Styela clava: one gene and its partners. The protein of the gene in region 1 purifies or fractionates together with the protein of each later gene. This does not show direct contact. Links are inferred from orthologs where the notes say so. Each region holds a gene or a part of one and is shown in the gene's direction. Other genes may lie near its edges. The genes, in order: peroxisomal targeting signal 1 receptor-like, peroxisomal acyl-coenzyme A oxidase 1-like and peroxisomal trans-2-enoyl-CoA reductase-like.

Region 1 (7,611 bases):
TCAGTCGCAGCGCGGGTGTGCTGTTGAAAATTTTCATCAAAATTATCACGAATTTTTAAGTATACGATCTATTTAAATTCGCGCATAATAGAAACTTAGGCTATTTAGTGGAAAACTGAACTTGCAGTTTGGTGGAAATTACGCCACACATCATCTCGAGTGATGCGTAGAAGAGTGTGTTGTGCCGAATTTGAAACAAATGAGTCAATCACGAAAAATTCATTTTCATTCATTTCCGTCCCGTAATTTGATGTTATTTGGAGTGCCGCATAAACGCATTCGGCAGTTTTAACGCCGCCGAAAACAACGATTAACAAATGTTGAATGTATTTCTTTTGGTCCCGTAATTTGGTGTTATTTGGAGTGCGCATGCACGCATTCGGCAGATTTAAAGCCGCCGAAAACAACGATTTATTAAAAAACGGTCAATGTTTTGTTTTTTTCGGTTAATCGCTCTCTTTTTCCGAATCGCGTAAATCTGATTCGAATCGATTCGGAAAAGATGCGATTCGAATCGATTCGTAAATCCTATTAACGGCACATATACTTTTGGCACGGGTATAAATTCTGATTGTTTGTCGTCAAGTACGCGTGTCATTTAGTCCATCGACATCGATAAACTAAATTCCGACACAATTATTAGGTATTAATTTAATTTTGTTTAACTACACAATTACTTTATAGATATATTGACGTGACCGCCTATCCCTCTAGAATGTCTCAAAATATATGATAGCAATTGTAGAATATTATAAAATAGTAAAGTAAAAAAACATCCTCGACGGTTATAGGTAGGCCTTCTTTTTGTCGGTGCTGATCGATATTCTTTCATGTTGGCTTTGACTTATTGCGTCGACGATTACGATTAGCCACGAAGGAAAATATTTGTAAAATGCTTTTAATTTGAACGTAGGACGGCGGCGCTAGAATGTGTGGGTGATATTCGATATTCTTTTAAACACGAACAACAATATTCGAAGCTCGCGATATTGACATTAAATTCAAATTGGACGACCCGGCTTATGAGTTTTCTAATTGAACACCGAGATTACTAGCGTTACTGTACATTGTACAGTGTATCTTAATCAGTTAAAGCAAACACCAAACATTAATCGGTATCGGTACATCTCTAAATATAACTGGAATAAAATTATGCCCTAACCCAAACCTGGTACACATTCTACGTTCCGGTGTCCGCCATCTTGGTGCACATACTACGGAGCGCCTTTATTTCATCGTTTTTGTTAGGGTTACATGTAGCTCACGGTGGAATGATGAAAATCAGCCAGGGGCGCAGTCAGGATTTTAAAAAGGGTGTGTTTCAAAACCGAAAATTTCCATTCCCTTATGAAACAGTCGCCGCGATTACGCTCTCATTGAAAAGGCCGAGTTTTTCAGCGTATACCAACATTCTCTCCAGTAAAATATTCATTTCATGATAGCTACGAGAATCTAAAACTTTCTTCTATATTGATATAATCTTGTGTCCAACGTAACTCGCGGTTACGTCTTCTTGCGTCAAAATATAAACATTATTAGTCTGAAATACCACTCAATCTTTTGATGTAAAAATATGAGATAAACATGCCTAATGGCTAATTGTATTTAGTTTCGATTGATTGTATAATAACTCTCAGCGAATTTCAATTCTGGGCAAAAATAAAGTAATTATTATCGTTGTCGTGAAATAATTGTTGTGATTCAGGGAGAATAAACACCAACTAAAAGTGTTTACGGCCTAAATAACACGTCACGCTGATAAAAACAATCAGGAATTTTAGCGAAAAGCAATCGCACGCGCTATTTGTGACTTTTTCAGTTTTCCATGAATTTGAAAGGAGGGGGGAATTATAAAATCGCGAGTGGAAGGACTTTCTATTAATATTTGAAAATTGCAAAATTTAACCCTTTTTCGCTTTACGTAATTTTTATGAAAAGGGGTATCTTCAACAGGGAAGTACTCCCTTTTCTAAGTTTGAGTAGTTTTAGATTCAATGTGGGTGATAAACTTCATATATTCTACTTTGAAATGAAATTATAAAATCGCGTGCCTCTTGAGCGGAAGATATTTCTATTAATATTTGAAAATTGCAAAATCAAACACTTTTTCGCTTTACGTAATTTTGATGAAAAGGGGTATCTTCAACAAGGGAGTACTCCCTTTTCTAAGTTCGAGTAGTTTTAGGTTCAATGTGTGTGATAAACCCTATATATTCCACTTTAATATGAAATTATAAAATCGCGTGCCTCTTGAGCGGAACATATTTCTATTAATAATTGAAAATTGCAAAATTTACCTATTTTTATGTTTCACGTAATTTTGATGAATAGGGGTATCTTCAACAAGGAAGTTCTTCCTTTTCTAAGTTGGAGTAGTTTTAAGTTCAATGTGTGTGATAAACCTTATATATTTTACTTTGATATGAAATTATAAAATCGCGTGCCTCTTGAGCGGAAGATAATTCTATTAATATTTGAAAATTGCAAAATTTAACCCGTTTTCGCTTTACGTATTTTTGGTGAAAAGGGGTATCTTCAACAGGGGAGTACACCCTTTTCTATGTTCGAGTAGTTTTAGGTTCAATGTGTGTGATAAACGTCATATACTGTACTTTGATATGAAATTATAAAATCGCGTGCCTCTTGAGCGGAAGATATTTCTATTAATATTTGAAAATTGCAAAATTTAACCCTTTTTCGCTTTACGTAATTTTGATGAAAAGTGGTATCTTCAACAGGGGAGTACTCCTTTTTCTGGGTTCGAGTAGTTTTAGGTTCAATGTGTGTGATAAACTTCATATATTCTGCTTCGATATGAATTTATAAAATCGCGTGCCTCTTGAGCGGAAAGACTTTCTATTAATATTTGAAAATTGCAAAATTTAACCCTTTTTCGCTTTACGTAATTTTGATGAATTGAGGTATCTTCAACAGGGAAGTACTCCCTTTTCTAAGTTCGAGTAGTTTTAGGTTCAATATGTGTGATAAACTTCATATATTCCACTTTGATAAGAAATTATAAAATTGGGTGCCACTTGAGCGGAAGGACTTTCTATTAAGAACATATTTGGACACAATTTATCCCATGTCTGATCTCGAATCTATGCGAGACGCTCTATTAAAAGCGCAGAATAATTTCTTATGAAATTTTCATAACATCGACTGCGTTTTTCACAGCACTAATATTGTTATTAAAATCACCGATTGTTCAAAATCGGAAATTCCCATGCAACGGCTTCTAAAACGTTCGCCGAGATTGTGTGTTCGTTAAAACGGCTGACGTATTCAGCGTACAATGACTCTTATGTGGCGTGAAATATTTAATCCGCGACAACTACAGGAATTTGAAAAGTCCTTCTATATTAATTTAATTGTGTTCAGTGTAACTCGTTGTTGCGTCGATAGAGTCTACTGTAATATACTACTGTGGACATAATAATGTGAGATAAATTGCGTCAACAAAATGAAAGCGTTATTTCTCAAATTAACACGGTAATCCGCGGACATAAAAATGTGTGGTAAAGTGCCTGATAATATCGTGTTGTATGTAATTTGTATTTTCGCAAATTTGATAAATCTGAGCTGTTCTTGTAATATTGACACGGCTCTATCGCATTTCTTTCGGTTGTAATGCTTTTAAGACAACCGTTAGACAAATCCCTGCGACAGCAATAAAATTTCATTGAGTTAAATTTAGTTCAAAAAGTTGATGGAAGATACTTTACACATTAATTATTTTATATAAAAAGTTACGCTAGTTTCCCGCCGGTATTTTTACAATGAATAAAAAGTGCCTCGCTCGCACAATTGACAAAAAATAAATAAACAATATGTAATTTTAATCTTTCTTCATGAAACAAGACATTTGTCTTCCGCTATTTGTCATTACGGCTAAATAACACGTCACGCTACCGAAAATAATCGGCTATTTTAATAACAACATTAGCGCTGTGAAAATCGTCAATTGTGCGTTTTCACGGCGATTGTTGGTCTCGGATGGTTGGTCTTGATGTTTCTTCCATATCTATAATCGAGAGCAATTCCATAATCGAGAGCAATTCTGCCGTGTGGAATTTAGAAATCGCCTACGTTTTACTCCATCACCCTTCAAAAAGCACAAAGCTGTAATATCACTCTTCAATGAGCACAAAAACGAGACTTAACGCACCGCTGCGCACAATTCGAAGAAGGTTTGCTACTAGCTTCACAGTGGTCATTCATCGCAGTTCGAGTTTCTGAGTTGGCTCGCTGCGGAAGGCTTTTCCGAAGTAAAATGTCTGCGATTAAGGAACTGGTGGCAGGTGAATGTGGAGGGGCTAATCCTTTGATGAAAATAACTCAGCACGTTAACCAGGATTTATCGTTTCAGCATCGAGGACTGACTAACAGAGTAAATGGTAAGGGTCCTTGGTTTATTCATCCGTCTGTCAATTCTGCAATTGGTCAATCATTCTGTAGAGTGCAGGTTAGATTTATGCACCGTTGGGTGATCACATTCCTGCATTCAGATACTGTATTATAATTACCATACCAAAAGTCTGAAATCCCTTTTATCACCAGTAGCGATAACATCTACTAACATTAATATATGGTTCAACAATCAATCGTTTATAAGTATGTAGAAAACTGATACACAACAACCTGACAACATCATTTGGTGATATATTGATGATACAATCAATAATACAGGGTGTGACTTTATACGCTGATATGAGTGAATATGTATTTTCATACATAACAACTCCCATAACAATGCTCTAGACAAGCATTCTTGATACATCATGCAACAGTGACCATGCTGTTCTATGCTGAGAATGATGGTCATCCCGGATCCTCTACCCAATTTTCATACATTTTATATATGAATGAGATGTTGAAAATTGAGGCAGATTTCGTCAACTTGTTATGTCAACAATGGTTCAACAGTTTTACCATTAGGTCATGAAGTGTTTAAACAGCTGATGATAGTTCTTTATATCTTCACCCTAATAATCGTTTGAAGATTGTCTAGTTCAATAATATCAAAAATTTTTCTAACATTGTAATATTTGATGTGTTTTTTCAGGCCATGGAGCTCATCAACCTCTCGCGGAACAATATGCAAATGAGTTTCTTCAAGATCATCAAATGGTGGTCAAACATCCACAGACATTCGATATGGGACGACTGTTACATGAAGCACGTTTACTGGATTCCAGACCACCACAACGTAAAACATTTTACTCTGCCTTATACTATTGTGTGAAGTTTACTCATCTATTTATTGTACATATCGTCGATGTGCCGTACCTCTTTGTCCTGTGTATTGTACAAGAGTTTTAATTGTATATTCCATGTCTGTTGTCCTACTATAACGCAGCAGTCCTAAACTGCAGTTATACTTGTTGGGGTTCATGTCGCACATCTGTGTTTTTGGCCAGTAAGGTCTTGAACATGTATCCCGTCTTTGTTATACCGTTTAATTATTATGCATATACTGTTATATTTTTGAGACAAATAAACATACATACATACATACTATGTGCCAAGCTTTGGTTGAGCAATTATTACTTATCGATCTTAAGATCGGTAAGTATATTGATAGGTATTTGTCTGTATGTATGTATGTCTGTCTGTGTGTCTGTTAGATGCACGCGATATCTCACGAAAGCGAGATTGAATCTGCTCCAGATTTTGCATGTGCATTCATCTTATCTCGGACCAGATTCTAATTGATTTTGGGCGAATTATGTCGTATAATTAGCGAGTTATCAATCAATTATTGATTAAGTGATCTAGATTTTTGTAAAGCGAGAGAATTTTGAGACCCGCCGAGTGTGTGTGTGCGATGCGCAGTGCGCAAGTTACACGAGCGGATGAATCGAAACTGCAGTTTCTGTTTTGGGGGATCCCCTAACTATCGATCGATAAGTATTCGGTTTCCAACCGATATTCTCGTTGGTGTTTTTTATTGAAACCTACATACTCAGGTCTTGTTCACATTTTATTGAGTCAATGGGTATTGCTTGTGATTTGAAAATTATTGCATTGATGGATATGTAATGTTGTGCAGAGTTTTTGCTGTAAATGACTTTGTGATTAATGATTTGTCTAGATATAGCTTGAATTAGCTCATGGTATTTTTAAATCAAATAATAGCACGCTATTCAATCAACAGAAATTCAAATCTCAGTTACTGCACAACATTGGGAAAAAGATTTTCAAAGTTTTAGGCCTGCTCCATTTCGAGAAACTGGACGTGAAGAAGCTCTGTGGGCTGAAGAATTTTTGCGACATGGTGAATATAAATTTAAGTTATATGTTATTGTTTATCAGACATTTTCTTGTTGTTTGCTTCAATTTTCCTTATATTTTAGTAGGGTTAGATGTCTTGTGCTTTTCATTGTTTATGATGTGTTATTTCAAAAACATGAAGTCATATCATTAAGAACTTTAGAGAATTTAAATATTACCAGAGTCTGTGCCAGGATATTAGGAATAGAGTGTATATTTATAACTCAGTGGCTTAACAAGCTGAACAAAATTCTTTGTTCAATTGCTGACTTCATGTGATTTGTATTTGGTCGAAAATTCTGAACACATGTTGAACTTATCACATTATTCCCTGTTCATTGGTATGTTTCTCATAATTTTTGTCCATTTATCAACTTTTCAGAACAACATCAAGAAATACCTTTTTATAATAATTTGAATGGACCTAATATGATGGGTTATGAACCTGCCAGAATACGAGAAATAGATGATGTTACAAGTACTGAAGACTGGTGAGATATTATCTTATGATTGACTTAGATCTGACATGTATTATGCCTTGTGGTCCCTCACGGAGGCTTTTAGCACTGATAGCCATCCCCCTGTTTATCATTTTGCCCCTGACATGGTGGTCCCTCTCCAACTGCTCTGCGGCCCCATGGTAGGCCACGGGCCCCCGATTGAGAACCACTGTTTTATGTCCATGCATGAACTTTTAGGTACTGGTATGTATAATATTACCAGATAATGTTTGTTCCGTTCGAAATTCTTTTTTCATTCCAAACTGAATCCTAAAGTGATTTTTAGTTGGTATATATGACTTTTATCATAGTCTAATATCTTTCAACTGATGATGTTTTTCCAGGTCAAAGGAATTTGGCAGTGAAGTTCAAGAAAAGACAGAATTACAGAAAGCGGCAGATGAAATGGTCGAATCATTCTCGAAAGACAATAAAATATCAAATACCGAATTTTTTGATTTTGTTTCAAGTCTTGGTACAAAAGGTAAAGCAGATGATTGGACATCAGAATTTGTGGAAGAGAATGGAAGTCAGGTACATTTTAATTATTCATAAATGTATAAAAAATCATCACAAATTAGGAAATGATGCTGTTTTTTATCTGGTCATCACAAAGGTATGTTGTTAAGCATGTTATTCTTAAACATCTTCATTTAATTGTCATTTTTCATGACCACACTTTATGACTTTTAAAAACACCAAATCTTTTTTCTTTTCATCTGCTTTCTCTCTGAAACACTTTCTTTTATTGTTTATCAGGTTAGAGTCATCCAGATAATGATGTTTTATTTGACAGGAAGTTAATGATGTTCAGTTGTTCACTAGTTATGCCAATATT
Region 2 (7,891 bases), on another chromosome or scaffold:
CAAAATACCAGCAGTAAGTAAGATGTAACTGCACATACGTCACCACAACATCGAAGGGCAGGCGTTTATTGTAAAATAGAGACAGATTTAGGATTGCGCAATAATATTCGATTATTCGGTTCGATTCGGCAAAAATATTCGATTCGAATCAAAAAATTATTCGATTTTGGACAGCCCTAATAGAGAGACTTTGCTTTGAACTTACTAAGAGATAATACAATAACCCTGTAATTGGTTACCCCATTCTCTAACGGGTTTCTGCCAATTTCTGAATTTACATACGGAAACGGTATCCGTATTTAAGTGACGAGCCTTTCCGCATATTACCCATATCGGTAGATGGATTATTTCGAAAACACCATAACACACACGAATTGAAGCACAACCTTTAAAAAAGTTTAAAACATGAGGAAAATCATGTGCCTGCCCACCAGCACACACACCCACACAAAAACCCAAATAAATGAGGCTTGGGCCAGAATTGAACAAATAAAATACCCGATAGTATTTCGGACTGTTGTACTTTTAACACTTACCGGTACATTGATAATAACCAATACAATCTCATTCAAAGATAATAGGGGGAGTGCAATGCAATAAAGTGACGACAATGGTCATTGAAGCTAAAAAAAACCAAGCCACGAGAACTACTACACTAGTGATTGCTAGACTATGCATTGCTGAAAAGGTGATAAAGAGGTTTAAGATACAAACAAACTCAAAACTCTGAAGGTAAATTCGGTGTATGGACACTAGTAAAATAAATTATCAGGAAAAACACTAATCACACGTTTGTAGCCTAATTGATATCTATTGACCAGCATTGTTAAAGCAATATATCTACACACAAAGAGAACAAAACAAAAATATGCCATTAAATGAATGTTTAAAAACGTTGAGCATTGGTATGGTCATTTCAAGATACACTACAAACTATTTGTGCATATATAGTTAAATCTCATTTAGTATTCAAGTAGAATCTCTAGTAATAGCCTAGTATTTGCAGTAGGCTATCTGCAGACAGTCGCATTTCAATTCCATACTTTTCTTAATATTCTTGATTTATTATCTTTCGATTCTGTTATGACAGTATGATGTCTGTATGTTGCCTTAATGCCACAATGTCCTTTTCGTATTTCAGTCTTTACATGTTGATATATATCTTATTCCTATCAAACTGTCCGCACATAGACATGCGTAACACGCCGCGATCGCAAAATGTGTTCTTTGTATATATCAGGGGAAATTCAGGGACTTACCCTAGAGAGTCACGTGATTAATCTTAAAAACAAGTTTCGCCGAGCTTATGGACCTTTCCCCGAGCATCGACTTCCCTGTTTATTTTGTGACATTAGCCAATCAGCAAGATGCAAAAAGTGACGTAACAATGCTCCCTTTTCGCTTCCGCCCAGACAGATTTTCAAGCGTGGTCGTGAACATTACCTCGTTTTCGAACTCTATTCGTTAGTTTTCAGTTGTGTTTCGGAAACTAAGATATAAATCAGACAATTCAAAGATCACTCTGTCTTCCTAGGAGTTTTAATTTAATTTCAGTAATAGAAAATTAGTGTAGAATTAGCTGGGATAGACTAGGCTAAAATTCTTTACCGGTACTTTTAAAAAACAGATTGTTATATGCGATAAATCATAATGATGCTGTGAAACACATACCTCATTTTACAGGCGCCAACTCGCAAAAGCACTTTTAAAATAGCCCCGAAAATTTTGTAATGGTAAAGTATAAGAAGAATTTTTCGGGGGTCAAAGATCGGGGAAAGGTCCATTTTGACACATTGTTCATTTATGTAACATTGGATAATTAGCAAAATATCAAGAACAGCGTGTAAAAAAAATTCGAAATCCCTTTTACATTGTCTCGAGAATATAATGATATATTGTGTGAATTATTTTATTTTCGAATAGTTTTCAATACAAGATGGCTGCGAGACTATAAAATTGTGGCAGCGTCATATTTACTCAATTTCACAGAATATAACATCTCCAAAGCTTTCTTCTCAATAAATTGAAATAAATATTATCATGATATATTCTTTTATTAACCGTGAGCGAGACAAGTGGGGGACAATGCATTTTGTAGTACGTGATTGTTGGTAGAATTTAGTTGAGTACCCGGGTATACGCGGAGACTCGCAACTTCAAAAGTGGTATTTCTTGCCAACAAACGTTTACGATACGTCGGACCGTTAGTCGTTGGTCGGACTTGACGTAGGACCTGGTATTAATATTTGAGTCTATCCTATCAAAGCCTATATGTCGCCAGGGTGTCTTCTAGTGGTGTCACTCTCAATGTCGCATCGAAACAAATGCTGCAATACAGAAAAACGCAAAATAACATGAAAAGTTAACTGGAAAGCCCACATCAATTAAAGCTGAGAGTGAAGTTTCATCTTCTGTGATCGGTCATCGCGAATTTTTTTTTTAATAATTTGATATAGATATTTCTGGCGTAAATACTCGGATGTGGAGTAAAGGACATTAGGGCATTAGGCTCTTTATACATCGAGGTTGAAAAAGATTGAATGGGGAGAAGATATATTTATTCTCGTTCAAACCTGGCCCAATTGTCTATTTATACTAAAATTGGCAAAAAGACATGTTTCGACTCCCAAAATAGGTGTCTTATATGTACGGTCCCTCATTTACACAAGACCAGTAAAGTAATTATATTAAGGTATTATTTACACAACGAGTTTGAAAAGGAGTATATGGGGGGAAATATATTTATTCTATTTCAACATGGCCCAGTCGTCAGTTTATACAAAATTGGCAAAAATTGCTTCAGATACTGGTTTATGTGGTTCAAACTGTTTTTATTGCCCGGAACTGATGACTGCATTTAAAACATTTTATGTACCCAAAATTTCTCTGTGGGGGCTTTGCTAGTAGGGATTTAGGCAGGTATGATACAACAATAGGCTATGAAAAGTATGGGCATCTTTACGTAAAATCCTCGGTCTATAACAAACAGAACTTAGCAAAAGATAATCGAACACAGGGAATCATGGAGAAAAGTCAACAGGAGCTAAAGCGTACTCGTTTCAACAACAGGCGGTTTAAACGTCTTGATGAGATCGCTGTAGTGTCAACTTCATAAGTAGTTGTAATTGTAAGATACTTATTCTTTTGTGCAAAATTGGTCTTTTTGCAAATTTTTTCATGAATTGACTATCGAGCCAGGTTTAAACGAGGTTTCAATCTTCCCCACATACAAACTTTTCCAAACTCGTTGTATAAACACTTTATTATATGTACTAATGCTGGTCTTGTGTAAATAGGGGGGCAGAAATTGTAAGACACTTATCTTTTGGGGTAAAATAGGTCTTTTTGTGTTTCTTCAAAGAGGCGGATATATTTGTAAGACACTTATATTTGGGGGAGAACTATGATTTTTTTGCAATTGCGCGGCGGTGTAGCTCAACGGGCTAAGCGTTAGGAATACGCTTGCCACCGCACCTCTAATTACTCTGCGTGGGTTCGCAGGTTCAAATCCCATGCAGGGATGGTTATGTGCAAGAGGATTGCTGGACTCCTCGCCGCCGTTGGGTGGTTTACGTAACCGCTGGTCGGTTATGGCTTCCTCCACCACCAAATCCATGCTTCCGAACATAACATTATAACTAATCCCATACCCGACTTGGAATAGTAACCGGACGAGAGGCCGTGGTTCGCCATATGGATAAGCCGTCTCATCGGCTTTCCTCTCCCCCGGGATAAATCTGTAAATCCTATCCTATTATTCACAATTTATATGCTTTTATCTGGCAACGCATTAGGCATCAGCTGATTTTCCACCGATGCCTTTCTCGTCGTCTCTCGCATCGCTCGAATCAAATTTGAGTTCTGGCAATCGCCGATCGGCGCGTCTGCTAGGTACGGTAACTTTGTTCTTTTCGCCTGGGGAGTGGGGTTTGTGTTGTCGCCATCATTTTGGACTGGCTGAATGGGGGAGTAGAATTATAAAACTGTAAAAGATCTGAAGATGCCAAGATGGTTTTAAATTACGGTTGAGGTGTTGCTGGGGGCTTTGTAATTTGTATCTGAATCTGACTTTAAACTGGGCTTACTCCAGTGAAGGCTGGCAGGATAGGATAGGATTTTCACGTTTATCTGGGCCGGCCGGCCGGGTGGAAGAAAGGCCTCTCATCCGGTTACTAATCCATGTCAGGTACTGTATGGGATTAGGCAGCCGGTTATTATTTCTTTCTGATCTATGGCTGTGCCAGGCTGTAGCTGTAAGTTTGCAATTCATACAGGAACATGTTTTTCATATCCTCTTTCTGTAATCTGTTTTGATGGCATCTATTTGCGATATCCATTTGTTTCTGTACCGGTACCAGTACATGCTTAGCATTTCAGTCTGTGTCAGCTATTGTAACAACTTTATTAATTTTGTTTAAAGCTATTAGTGTGTCCATAATTCAGTAATTATACAACTAGTTGAAATTTGTGATTAACAATGGCATCAAGTGAGGAGCAGAAAATAAATCCAGATATACAAAAAGAGAGAGATACAAGAACATTTGATTATGAGGAACTAGCGATGCTATTGAATGGTGGTAAAGAGGAAAGAGAAAAAAGAAAGAAAATTGGTAGGTCATCCATTTCTCCAGTAACTGAAGTTAGAGTGATTCAAAAATTTGTGGATTTCATATCATTAAAACCTGTAAATAATACTGATACTTATAATATGTATGTATAAATAGATTGGAATTAACCTGACTTAATTACAGTTGTACTTAGTGTTCAAATATAATGAAGGTCTTGATTGGTGTTGAAACTATGAGAACGTATTAAAAATCATTTACCTATCATATAAATAAAATATAATAAAATGTAGAACTTTTTTAGCATAATGAGATTGAGTAAAATATTTGTGCAGATTTATCTTCACAGTTTCATTATATTTTATATGCTCGTTTGTTTTGTAATATAAAGTTCTTGATAACTGAAATAATTTTTTTCATATGAATAGTTGATAAAGGTAGATTTGGATCTTGATGATATGCTCTTCCATATATCTGGTGCAAAACATTCCATCTAACTTATTTTCTTATTGTTCAAGTTTAATTTTGCATTCAAATTGTTTTAAATTTTCCTGCATACTATTTTCTGATGCATGTAATTTTCTTATGTTTCAGTATCCATTGTTGAATCGGATAGGGACTACGATGGACCAGATCCTTCTTTCATGTCTAGAATGGACAGATTTGAAGAATGGATGAGAAAATCGTCTCTTCTTGTCAGGAAGAAAGAAAAACTGGGCGAATTGGTTCAAGATCACAAGGATTTTATGTTTTATAACTTGTATGATTGTAGTTATTATCTCTTGTTAGAAACTATTTCAGGGCCTCCAATACCTTTATTTAAATAACTATACTGAATATTGTAGAATAAAATCTATCATTAACATTCTTAACTACCTCATAGCTGTTTTTCGGTCTTATTCGCATGAACTTCTTTATGTCTCAATTGGTATTTTCTATTGGGCATTTCAGTAATCAGTAGGTATTTTTCTACCATACTAAAATACACTTTGTGAATAAACAATACAAAAAGAAGTAAAATGGTACTTTGGGGTGAAAGGATTTCAGTTAATAAGTTCTTTATAGTCACAGTAGCTCTTGATATTTTGGTGATTGTGTATAACCTCTCTCAGAGATCGAATCCTCTATTCCTCAGTGAGTGCATGTGACCTTGCTTTGAGTGAAAAAAGACAGTTAGCTACATGATACTAAGCTTATTCTTCACACATTTATAGGATTTTTGTAAATTACAATTTTCCTGGCATCCAAAATGTGTGTATTGTCCGATGTCATGTTTTATTTAAATCAAGTCTTATTTTCAATATCACTTACAGAAATGTCACCAAGAAAAGGCCTAATGTCTTTTTTGATCTTCATTATGGAATGTTTGTGCCTACATTGATGGGCCAAGCAACTGATGAACAAAGAGCAAAGTGGTTGATACCTGCAATAAATCATGAGATTTTGGGCACCTATGCTCAAACGGAAATGGGCCACGGTAAGTCAAATGATCGTAATAATAAGCTTGTGGCAATTTTGTTTTGTACAGCAGTGATCAAGTCATCATGGGGGTATTTTGAATGTGAAACGATGCTCAATAAGCATCTCTCAATAATCAAAATCATGAATTTACAAATAATACACCACTAAAGGAATCCTGTCAGTAGATCTGACTTTAGTATGCGGGTTAATGTGATTGGCCCAGAAGTGACAACCAATCGAATCATTTGTATTGACAAGCAGTGTTAACTCTAAGCAAATTATGAGTGCGAAAGTGCTTCGCAGTCGAAAAAAAAAGTGCGAAAGTGCTTTTGCCGATTTTAACAAGTTAGGTGCCCTAGCCTTTCATATAACCCATTTAAAACGGCATAGATACTCAAAAAAGCGCTCCTCCGGTTAATATTATGAATTAAAGAGAAGCCTGCCTTTTCGTTAACCCAGTTCCCTCTAAGCGAATTCATGTTTAATTAAAACGAGCGAATTCATCGGCAAAGAAATGACATCTGCTAACACCTTCCGGGACAAAACGTTCATGCAATGTATCACGGTGTCAGTTGCTTACTGGCGGTGTCAGTTGCTTACTCGCGTAAACAGCAAAGACTTTCACATTTGTTACTCCTTCCATCTAACAGATACGAGGCAGGCTGGAAACCATATTAATTACAGGGTGGATCGTTTGTACAAATCCCGTGCAAAATAATCTCTCCCCCCCCCCCCCCCCCCTCCAAATATAAATAGCAATCAACTAATTAGGGTTAGGTGCGCTGGAAATTCAACTTTTCGATTTATCCCTAAACCTAATCTGATAATTATTAATTTGTGATTTTGAACCACTTTGAAAGTCGCCACCGGCTGTTTTAAAAGATAAGTTAACCTACGTTCCCTCCGAAATATTACGCAGGATACTCCCCTGTTTTAGGAGATAGGTTGACCTACTTTTCTTTCAAACCTTTTTCTCCGAAATATTACACAAGATCACTTTGAAAATCCTCCCGTTTCGTGAGCTAGCGTGACCTAATTTATCTTTTACATTTATATTATACTATTTCAGAGCTTACCCAAAGACAAGTAATTTTTAAATGTCGACATGCCTTGGTTTGTGTGCGAGTTAGTTTAAATCGGGCAGAAAACTTCATATATTGGCAAAATGTTTAGTAATGTCATGTACTTTCAGCATTCATAAATAGCACTCTTTGTAATGCTGCAAAAAAAGATTTGGTTGCGAGAGTTACGTGAGATGACTGCCGTTGTTTTCTAAGCAGAATGTAAACAAAATTTATAATTAATAAACGGGAGTTACGACGCCCTTCACACATCGTGTGTATTAAACTTCCCTGGTAAGTACTATTATTATTGTACTTATACACCTGTTGGAGTATTTCGGACAATTTCGAATTTAAAATAAATGAAAACCCGACATATAATAAAGACGCAAAAGTAAAATGAACATTTATTGAAAAAGTTATTATTTCAGAAAGACAACATGATGTACAATTCCGCCAAAACCTCGATGTTCGCAAGTGAAATGATAAATAAATACTTCCCTGTATTCGATCAATTAACTTTAGCGTATCGTTGTTCTGCCAACAAACAGCCGGGTGCGACCATACGTGGCCGGCGGGATGTTAAAATTGTAAACAAGAGAGAGGTAAAATCAATCGCGAATTTCGTTATAACGGCTCGTTTACGAATTGTTGCGCCTGTTATCGTCGAAAATGATTACATTTGTTGTATTTTGAGGCATTTAAGCAGTAATAATTACATCATCAAAATCGTCAAGTGAGATCTTGAAATTGCAAATTCCGTAAATAAAATTGTGAATTATTCGGTAACGAACTCAGCTTCAA
Region 3 (7,282 bases), on another chromosome or scaffold:
AATTCTTGTGGTCGCAATTCGCTTGAATAACATTTCTCAAATTTTAGGTAAGTTACGGAATTCAAAAGTATTGTCGTAAGTAGCCACTAACGCGCAATTAATTACGATAAAAAAGATTTGTAAATTTCGCAATGAAATTGTCCATTTTTAAAATTAATTCGAGTGGTTTTTTGTGTTGCCTATTTACGGAAGGTACGAAGGTGTTAGAGGTGGCAATTATGCGTTGTTTAATTTTATCGGCTACTCCATATTTGTAAATTAAAATTTATTAGTTTACGTAAATACACCTATCAACTAAAGTTCAGGCGTAAACCACTTCGGCAAAAGGTCAGGTATTTTTCACAATTAAATACCGATTCACTGATATTAGCAAGTCAGTGATGGCGCGCTATAAACCCTTGGTTTGTTGTTCAACATATAGAGAGTGAATCTGATACAAGAATATGGCAAGCCTTTAGGCTAATCACAGTCGGATAGCAGAAATAAATAGAAAATTTGACACATCATTTTGATACGTCTACAATTTTAAAAAACAAATTTTACTGGTTGAGTATTAAAATTTATAGAGAAGAAGTGTTTTTATCGCGGTTGATTATGGAATGGAATCACGGGATATTAAATGCAACATAGCGACCTTTTTCTCGAAGTGAGGTCGTCCACCTTGTAAATAAGGGGATTGCATAAAAAATACATGACAAAATTATCTTCTACTAAATGTTATATAGAAAATATTAGGAAAGTCAGAAACAGCGAACACGAAGAAGTAATTATTAAATCAATTCTTTTAAAAAATATTCTGATGTGAAACTATTGCTCAATTTCCTTTCAATGAAAATAAACTTGGACATGAAACCCATTACATTATTTACCCGCTTATCAAAGCGATGTCGGTATCGGGTATTGGCTCGACCAGATTAAAATAATGAAGAAATGCACTGTAAATTGTTCTCGAATGACTAACAACATTTGGCAAGTTGAAAAGGGTATCATTTCAGCAGTTTGAAACACAACACCTGTTATTTATACGAAACAACAAGAAATTCACGTTTTAAGATGAATGCATAGACGTAGCCAGATATATTTCGTCCATATTGCGCGAATTCAATAAATGTTTCGTGAAAGGTACGAGAATACAATCCTCGACGTTATTCTAATATGCTGATTTACATTCGGGCAATGTCATTTTAGAAAACAAAAGTCTTACTTAAAAATTTCTTTCGCGGTTTCTGCTTATTTGCAACTTGGCAATTCACCGCCAATGCCAGACACAGGAGAACGACGATTGTTATTCTCATCATCTTGTCTTCTAACCGGTAGAACATCAAGCGAACGAGAGTTGTTTTTAAATGATACTCGTGGTAGATAAAATCCGAATTTATAGACGACTGTGATCGCTCCGGTAATCACGGGGAAGTCTCGCGGTGACGAGGAAAGTCGTCAGCGAACAACGACGTAAAACTCTAATGTGAAAAAGGTGTTCTTTTCATTGTTGTGGAAATGCCAATGACGTGATAAAAACATAAACCAAAGTTATGGTAACAGTTTAAATGTTTTAAATTCACACTCGTGACGGTTTTCTATCCATTTATTTGAACGACATTTCCTAAAATAGAGGCAGCAATCGCATATTTGCTGTTCGTGCAGCAAGTTTCAAGTGACGACTTGTAACTCTTCGAATTAACCTTTTAAACAAAGATATCTTCTATGAATTGATTACCGAATGAAATATACTCATATGATTTTCTATCGAAATCAAACGATCCGCTTAAACTTTGAATTCATTTCATGGAGCTTAAGAACTTTCAATAAGACTTTAGGCTATACGTCGTAAAAAACATATACAGTATATTCTCTCAAAATAGATGATTACGTTCACCACTGGGCATTACAAAAAATATTTAACGTTATAATATGCAGTGTGGGCATGACATTTATTTTTAATCAATTCATTTATTACCTATTAACCCACATTTAGCCCACCATGCATTTGGTAAAAATTCATCTGCGTGGAAAATTTGTATTCGTTCTCCCTGGGGATAGAAATTCTACCAAATAACTATTAAATCCAATGCGAGCCACGAACTAGCCAGTTCAATTCGGATTTTGGAATTAGATAGGATTTAATAGATGCTCTTCTGTACATACTAAAACTGTGCTCCAAATTTCAGTCGGTTATCCACATAGGACCTATGTAGGTATATGTATTTGCACTAAACAGCAAACCTTTTTATCTTAATTTCCCACTTCCGATTTAAGCTGAGATTTGATTCCCCACAAAATCTCCCTTAAAAAGAATTATTTTCCCGTCAATAATAAGTGGTAAGAAATTTTTAATAAAGGCTTGCAATTGGTGCAGACGCTAAAACCCCGCGAGAACATTCATTTGTCATTGTCAATCGCGAGACAACTGCATAGGACGCAGTATATCGTCTTCAAACTTATCCGAAATTGTCCCATACTGTCGAATCTCATCTTTTTCGCGTGGCTTGCTTATATTATGAAAATGCTGCGATTTTTTTTTATCACACTGATAATAGATCTTTAAAATATGTTGCTTCAGTTGATGGGGCTTCATAGAACAAATGGTTAGGGTCTCAAAACAACGCATTGCGGCAGTTGCTCAAATTTTTCTTCACTAACGCGAAATCGTAACCGAGATAACTACTATGATCGTACTCTCTTTTCATAGGATAGGATAGGATTTACATATTTATTCCGGAGGAGAGGAAAGCCGATAAGACGGCTTATCCATATGGCGATCCACGGCCTCTCGCCCGGTTACCATTCCAAGTCGGGTATAGAATTAGATTTACTGTATTGTTTGTTTTCGGAAGCATGGACTTGGTGGTGAAGGAAGTCGTAACCGACCAGCGGTTACGTGAACCACTCAACGACGGCGAGGAGTCCAGCAATCCTCTCGCACATAACCATCCCTGCATGGGATTCGAACCTGCGAACCCACGCAGAGTAGTTAGAGGTTAACGCTTAGCCCGTTGAGCCACACCGCCGCGCCATTAGCAATTACCTTTTATTAACAGCTTAGCAAAGAGATGACACGGGCCAGATATTTGTGGGTCTGCAGCGAAAAACTTCTTTTGTAACCGTAAGGAGTCATTGTCAAGTTTGTGGGATCATGATCGGTCGACCAGAATTCAAAATGAGTTACATGAGCAAATCACGATCAGAATATCATGATCGACAACGGTATATTTCACCAAAATTTTGATTGGCTGAATGGGAATCTTTTTCCGCTTCATGGCATATATTGTGTTTTTTTTTTGCGAAATATTCCTTAATTGTGTGTTTGTGCTGCGTTACATTTTAATAGATCACCTAAACGAGTCCATATCGCCTTACTTATTTCTTGCTCGTTGACAGACATCGCGAGGTAGCGCGAAAGGGCTCCTTATTCTTCCGTCCTTTTTGGTTGCTTATTACAAAGCGGTTTATTACTTATTTAGGTAGCCTACCGTACGGTACGATGCAATGAGAAGCAGCTAATGTGCGCCAAATTACTGTATTAATTATGCTTTCGATCAAAAGTGTATTCAAGCCAAATTTATTTGCAAATAATGTTGCAATCGTTACTGGTGGTGCCACAGGCATTGGAGCGGCAATTGCCCATGAACTCTCATTTTTGGGGTGCAATGTTATGATTGCATCGAGAAATGCCGAACGATTAAAAACTGCTGAAGAGGAGATGCAAAAAAATGATAAATTGTCTGGAAAAGTGATATCTACTCAATGCAACATTAGAAAAGAAAACGAAGTTGAAAATTTGATGAAAAAGACCATGAAAATATTTGGTAAAATTGATTTTCTAGTTAACAATGGTGGTGGTCAATTTGTAAGCAAAGCAGAAAAGCTGACAGAAAAGGGCTGGCATGCTGTTATTGAAACAAACTTGACTGGGACATTTTACTGTTGTAAACATTCTTATCTGACTACAATGAAAGACCATGGGGGTGCTATTGTTAACATTACTGCAGATATGTGGAAGGGTATGCCTTATATGGCTCATACATCAGCTGCAAGAGCCGGAGTTGTTAATTTAACAAAAACTTTATCCTTGGAATGGGCCAGTCATGGAGTAAGGATAAACTCTGTAGCCCCGGGCATAATCTATTCGCCGACTGCTCGTGCAAATTACAAAGACCCAACTATGTTTGATAAAGCAATTGATAATCAACCATCCGCGAGGTCCGGCACACCTGAAGAAATTTCTGCTGCTGTCTGTTTTCTACTGTCTCCCGCGGCAGCATATATTTCTGGCGAGACCCTAAAAGTCGATGCTGCTGGAAGTCTTTATAAAAACTTTATAGAAATTCCAAAGCATGACAAACTACCGGCTTGGTCATGGGATGTCGATCCTAAGTCCTGATACCTTTTATAGCTAAGTCTGTATATCAGCACTAATATAAATCAAGAGTGCATTATATTACTCAATCTGTGTAATTTATTCCACACATTTGTTGACAATTATTTTTAGAAAGGGTGCTTTTGTCTCAGGAATGTTTAAATAAAATTGATATTACTTAAAATATATCTAGTACGGCACAGTTCTCCGATTCCATAACAGCCCCTTACAAATATAACAGTAAGTGCAAGCAAATCCTTTACGAGACAGTCTGGGCCTCCATATCTGTAAAAATCAGCAAACTGGCACTGCGCAATAAACTAGAAGGAAGCGCAATTCTAAAAACGCCAGCATTGGATTCTTCGGAAAAAAAATGTTTAGCAAAAAAAGTCAATTTCGGTCATGTGACAGCTGTGATCAATTTAGGTTATTATCGAGAGAAGCATTGTGCGATCTGCCATCGTGTCAGGCGCCCTCGTTTCAGAGACAAATAGAGTGTTTGTTTTATTGAACTAAATGTTGGCACATCTTGGAATCGGAGAACTGTGCTATACTGTGTATGGCAAAAAGTTGATGTGCATTTAACCTAAGTTTTATCAAAAGTCTGACTAATATTACTTATACGCAGTGTTTGGGAGACTATTGACTTGAGTCACCATTTTTCAATGACCCTCTTTTTCAACTAGTCATTTAAATGAAATGGCTCAGAAACAATTAAACTCAATGAATGACTCGGTTTGTATGGCTTGTGACTCGAATCTCAACTCAAGGTTCAGAGTAATAGTTCAATGTAAAACAGAGTTTTATACCAATGAATGACATTGGTTGGAAATTATTTGAAAATACTTTTTTGATTTATGAGTTTGAATAATAAAAATCTAGGCGTTATATTTTGTAATCAAATGATACTCGTTATACTTTTGTAATCAAATTTTCATTTTAATTTTTACAAATTCTAATTTTTGTTCAAAATTATTCAAACAGGTTGTTAAAAAAATGTCAATCCGTAGTATATTTGCACCAAATTTGTTTTCTGGAAAGGTCGCGATTGTCACTGGTGGTGCCACGGGTATCGGTGCCGCAATTGCACAGGAACTATGCCACCTTGGATGCGACATTGTAATTGCTTCAAGAAATGAAGAGAAGTTAAAAGCAGCAGCGAAAAAGATGCAGGAAGACCCGCAAATGAAAGGGAGGATTTCCACAACGAAGTGTAACATTCGCAGTGAGGGTGACGTCATTAACCTTATGACAAGTACGATTGAAAAATATGGCAAAATTGATTATTTAATAAATAATGGAGGAGGTCAATTTCTCAGCGGAGCTGAAAACATAACTGCTAAAGGTTGGCATGCTGTAGTGGAAACCAATTTAACAGGAACTTTTTACTGTTGCAAGCATGCATATTTAACTTGGATGCAGGAACATGGTGGCTCAATAGTCAATATTATCACCGACATGTGGAAAGGATATACTTTTATGGCTCACAGTAGTGCTGCAAGGGCTGGTGTGGATAACCTAACAAAAACGCTATCTTTGGAATGGGCAGGAAGTGGGGTAAGAATCAACTCAGTTGCACCCGGTACAATTTATTCCGAAACAGCTGTGGCGAATTATGCTGACCCTGCGATCTTTGATGAAGCGTTACAACTTCAACCGACTGGACGTCTTGGAAAGCCTGAAGAAATATCGGCAGCAGTGTGTTTCCTTCTTTCTCCGGCTGCAGCGTATATAACCGGTGAAAGTCTGAAAGTTGATGGTGCTCAGAGTCTTTACACTAATTTCATAAGGATTCCGAAACATGATAACTTTCCCAAATGGTCATGGGAACAGACGAAAGCAAAATTATAAAAAATCATTTTGTCAATTTGTTACTATATTCTCTTAAATCTGTTTCTTTCCAATTTTCTATTTATTCAAAATATGCTCTTAAATATAGACTGTATGTAATTGGCTTGAAATTTTAAGATAGCATTTCTGTTCCATTTTAATAATTCTCCATTGTCAATAGCTACCTAATTTCCTTATTAGAGATCGAGATGCTAATGCTACAAAATAGGGGTTTTTAGAATTATTCTGGGATTATGACCTTTACGGGCATATCCCAGTTAAATTTATTCAATATTTAAATGCAATCCAATAGATTAAATATGTCAAATATCTATTTTATACTACTTTATGATCAAATTTAATTTTCTATGCAACCTAAATATAATTCAATACCTTACTACCAGTCACATCAGTTTTTCTACACTCCTAGAAAAAATACCTTTGGGCCGAGAAAGCAACAATAGTCATCATAGCAGCCGTAACCAACCTGGTGCCAGATGCTAGGTGTAAACTGATTCTACTTTTCAATTAACAAAAAACTCTGTTCTTCCTCGATTCATTGCTCGATAAGGTTATTTCACGGGTAGTTTTCACTTTTTTGGTCAAGAATTGTTTGAAAATAATGAGATTTGGAATCTACTAATCATAATACCACTGGAATGAAAAACAGGCAAGTCATAAGAGGTTGGGCACCACTGCATTACAGAATAGCTAGTTAGCAGTTACCATTGTTTTTTTTATGGGGTGTTCAAAAACTGCTTTAAACAAGAATGTAAAGAAGCTGTCAATAATATGACTATTGACTGGTATCTCTCTCATTTGAAATGATCTGACCAACTTATCACTGTGGTTGAGACTGACCCCTAGACAGCAAGGCCAGATCAAACAAAACTAGGGAGAGGCGATGCTTCAATAACAGAAACTCATTCAGGTATTACCAGATTCAGTGTGACTAAACAAACGATCATGTTACATTCATTGAGAGTCCAATCCTGGTAGGATAGGTTGGAAGCGGCGCATATCCCATTACGATTCATATGCCAGGCTTTTATATCGCCGGCTAGACAAGAACATGAAACTTACGAAAATACTCGT

The links.
Region 2: the proteins of peroxisomal targeting signal 1 receptor-like (region 1) and peroxisomal acyl-coenzyme A oxidase 1-like purify together in Homo sapiens (affinity purification with mass spectrometry; 3 studies listed by BioGRID, with this or other methods). This does not show direct contact. The link is inferred for Styela clava from reciprocal best matches to the Homo sapiens genes PEX5 and ACOX1.
Region 3: the proteins of peroxisomal targeting signal 1 receptor-like (region 1) and peroxisomal trans-2-enoyl-CoA reductase-like purify together in Homo sapiens (affinity purification with mass spectrometry; 3 studies listed by BioGRID, with this or other methods). This does not show direct contact. The link is inferred for Styela clava from reciprocal best matches to the Homo sapiens genes PEX5 and PECR.

Annotation. Positions count from the first base shown.
Region 1 is NC_135256.1:14,572,675-14,580,285, forward strand, and holds the start of peroxisomal targeting signal 1 receptor-like, read left to right. Parts: upstream 1-4,213; 5' UTR 4,214-4,273; coding exon 4,274-4,397; intron 4,398-5,065; coding exon 5,066-5,209; intron 5,210-6,157; coding exon 6,158-6,277; intron 6,278-6,655; coding exon 6,656-6,764; intron 6,765-7,117; coding exon 7,118-7,307; intron 7,308-7,611.
Region 2 is NC_135252.1:13,996,618-14,004,508, reverse strand, and holds the start of peroxisomal acyl-coenzyme A oxidase 1-like, read left to right. Parts: upstream 1-4,410; 5' UTR 4,411-4,477; coding exon 4,478-4,610; intron 4,611-5,159; coding exon 5,160-5,325; intron 5,326-5,878; coding exon 5,879-6,042; intron 6,043-7,891. UniProt on the Homo sapiens protein: Involved in the initial and rate-limiting step of peroxisomal beta-oxidation of straight-chain saturated and unsaturated very-long-chain fatty acids.
Region 3 is NC_135250.1:4,733,619-4,740,900, reverse strand, and holds peroxisomal trans-2-enoyl-CoA reductase-like, read left to right. Parts: upstream 1-5,314; 5' UTR 5,315-5,353; coding exon 5,354-6,208; 3' UTR 6,209-6,682; downstream 6,683-7,282. Other genes in the region: uncharacterized protein LOC120348670, read right to left, coding at 1,205-1,322. UniProt on the Homo sapiens protein: Participates in chain elongation of fatty acids. Catalyzes the reduction of trans-2-enoyl-CoAs of varying chain lengths from 6:1 to 16:1, having maximum activity with 10:1 CoA. Has no 2,4-dienoyl-CoA reductase activity.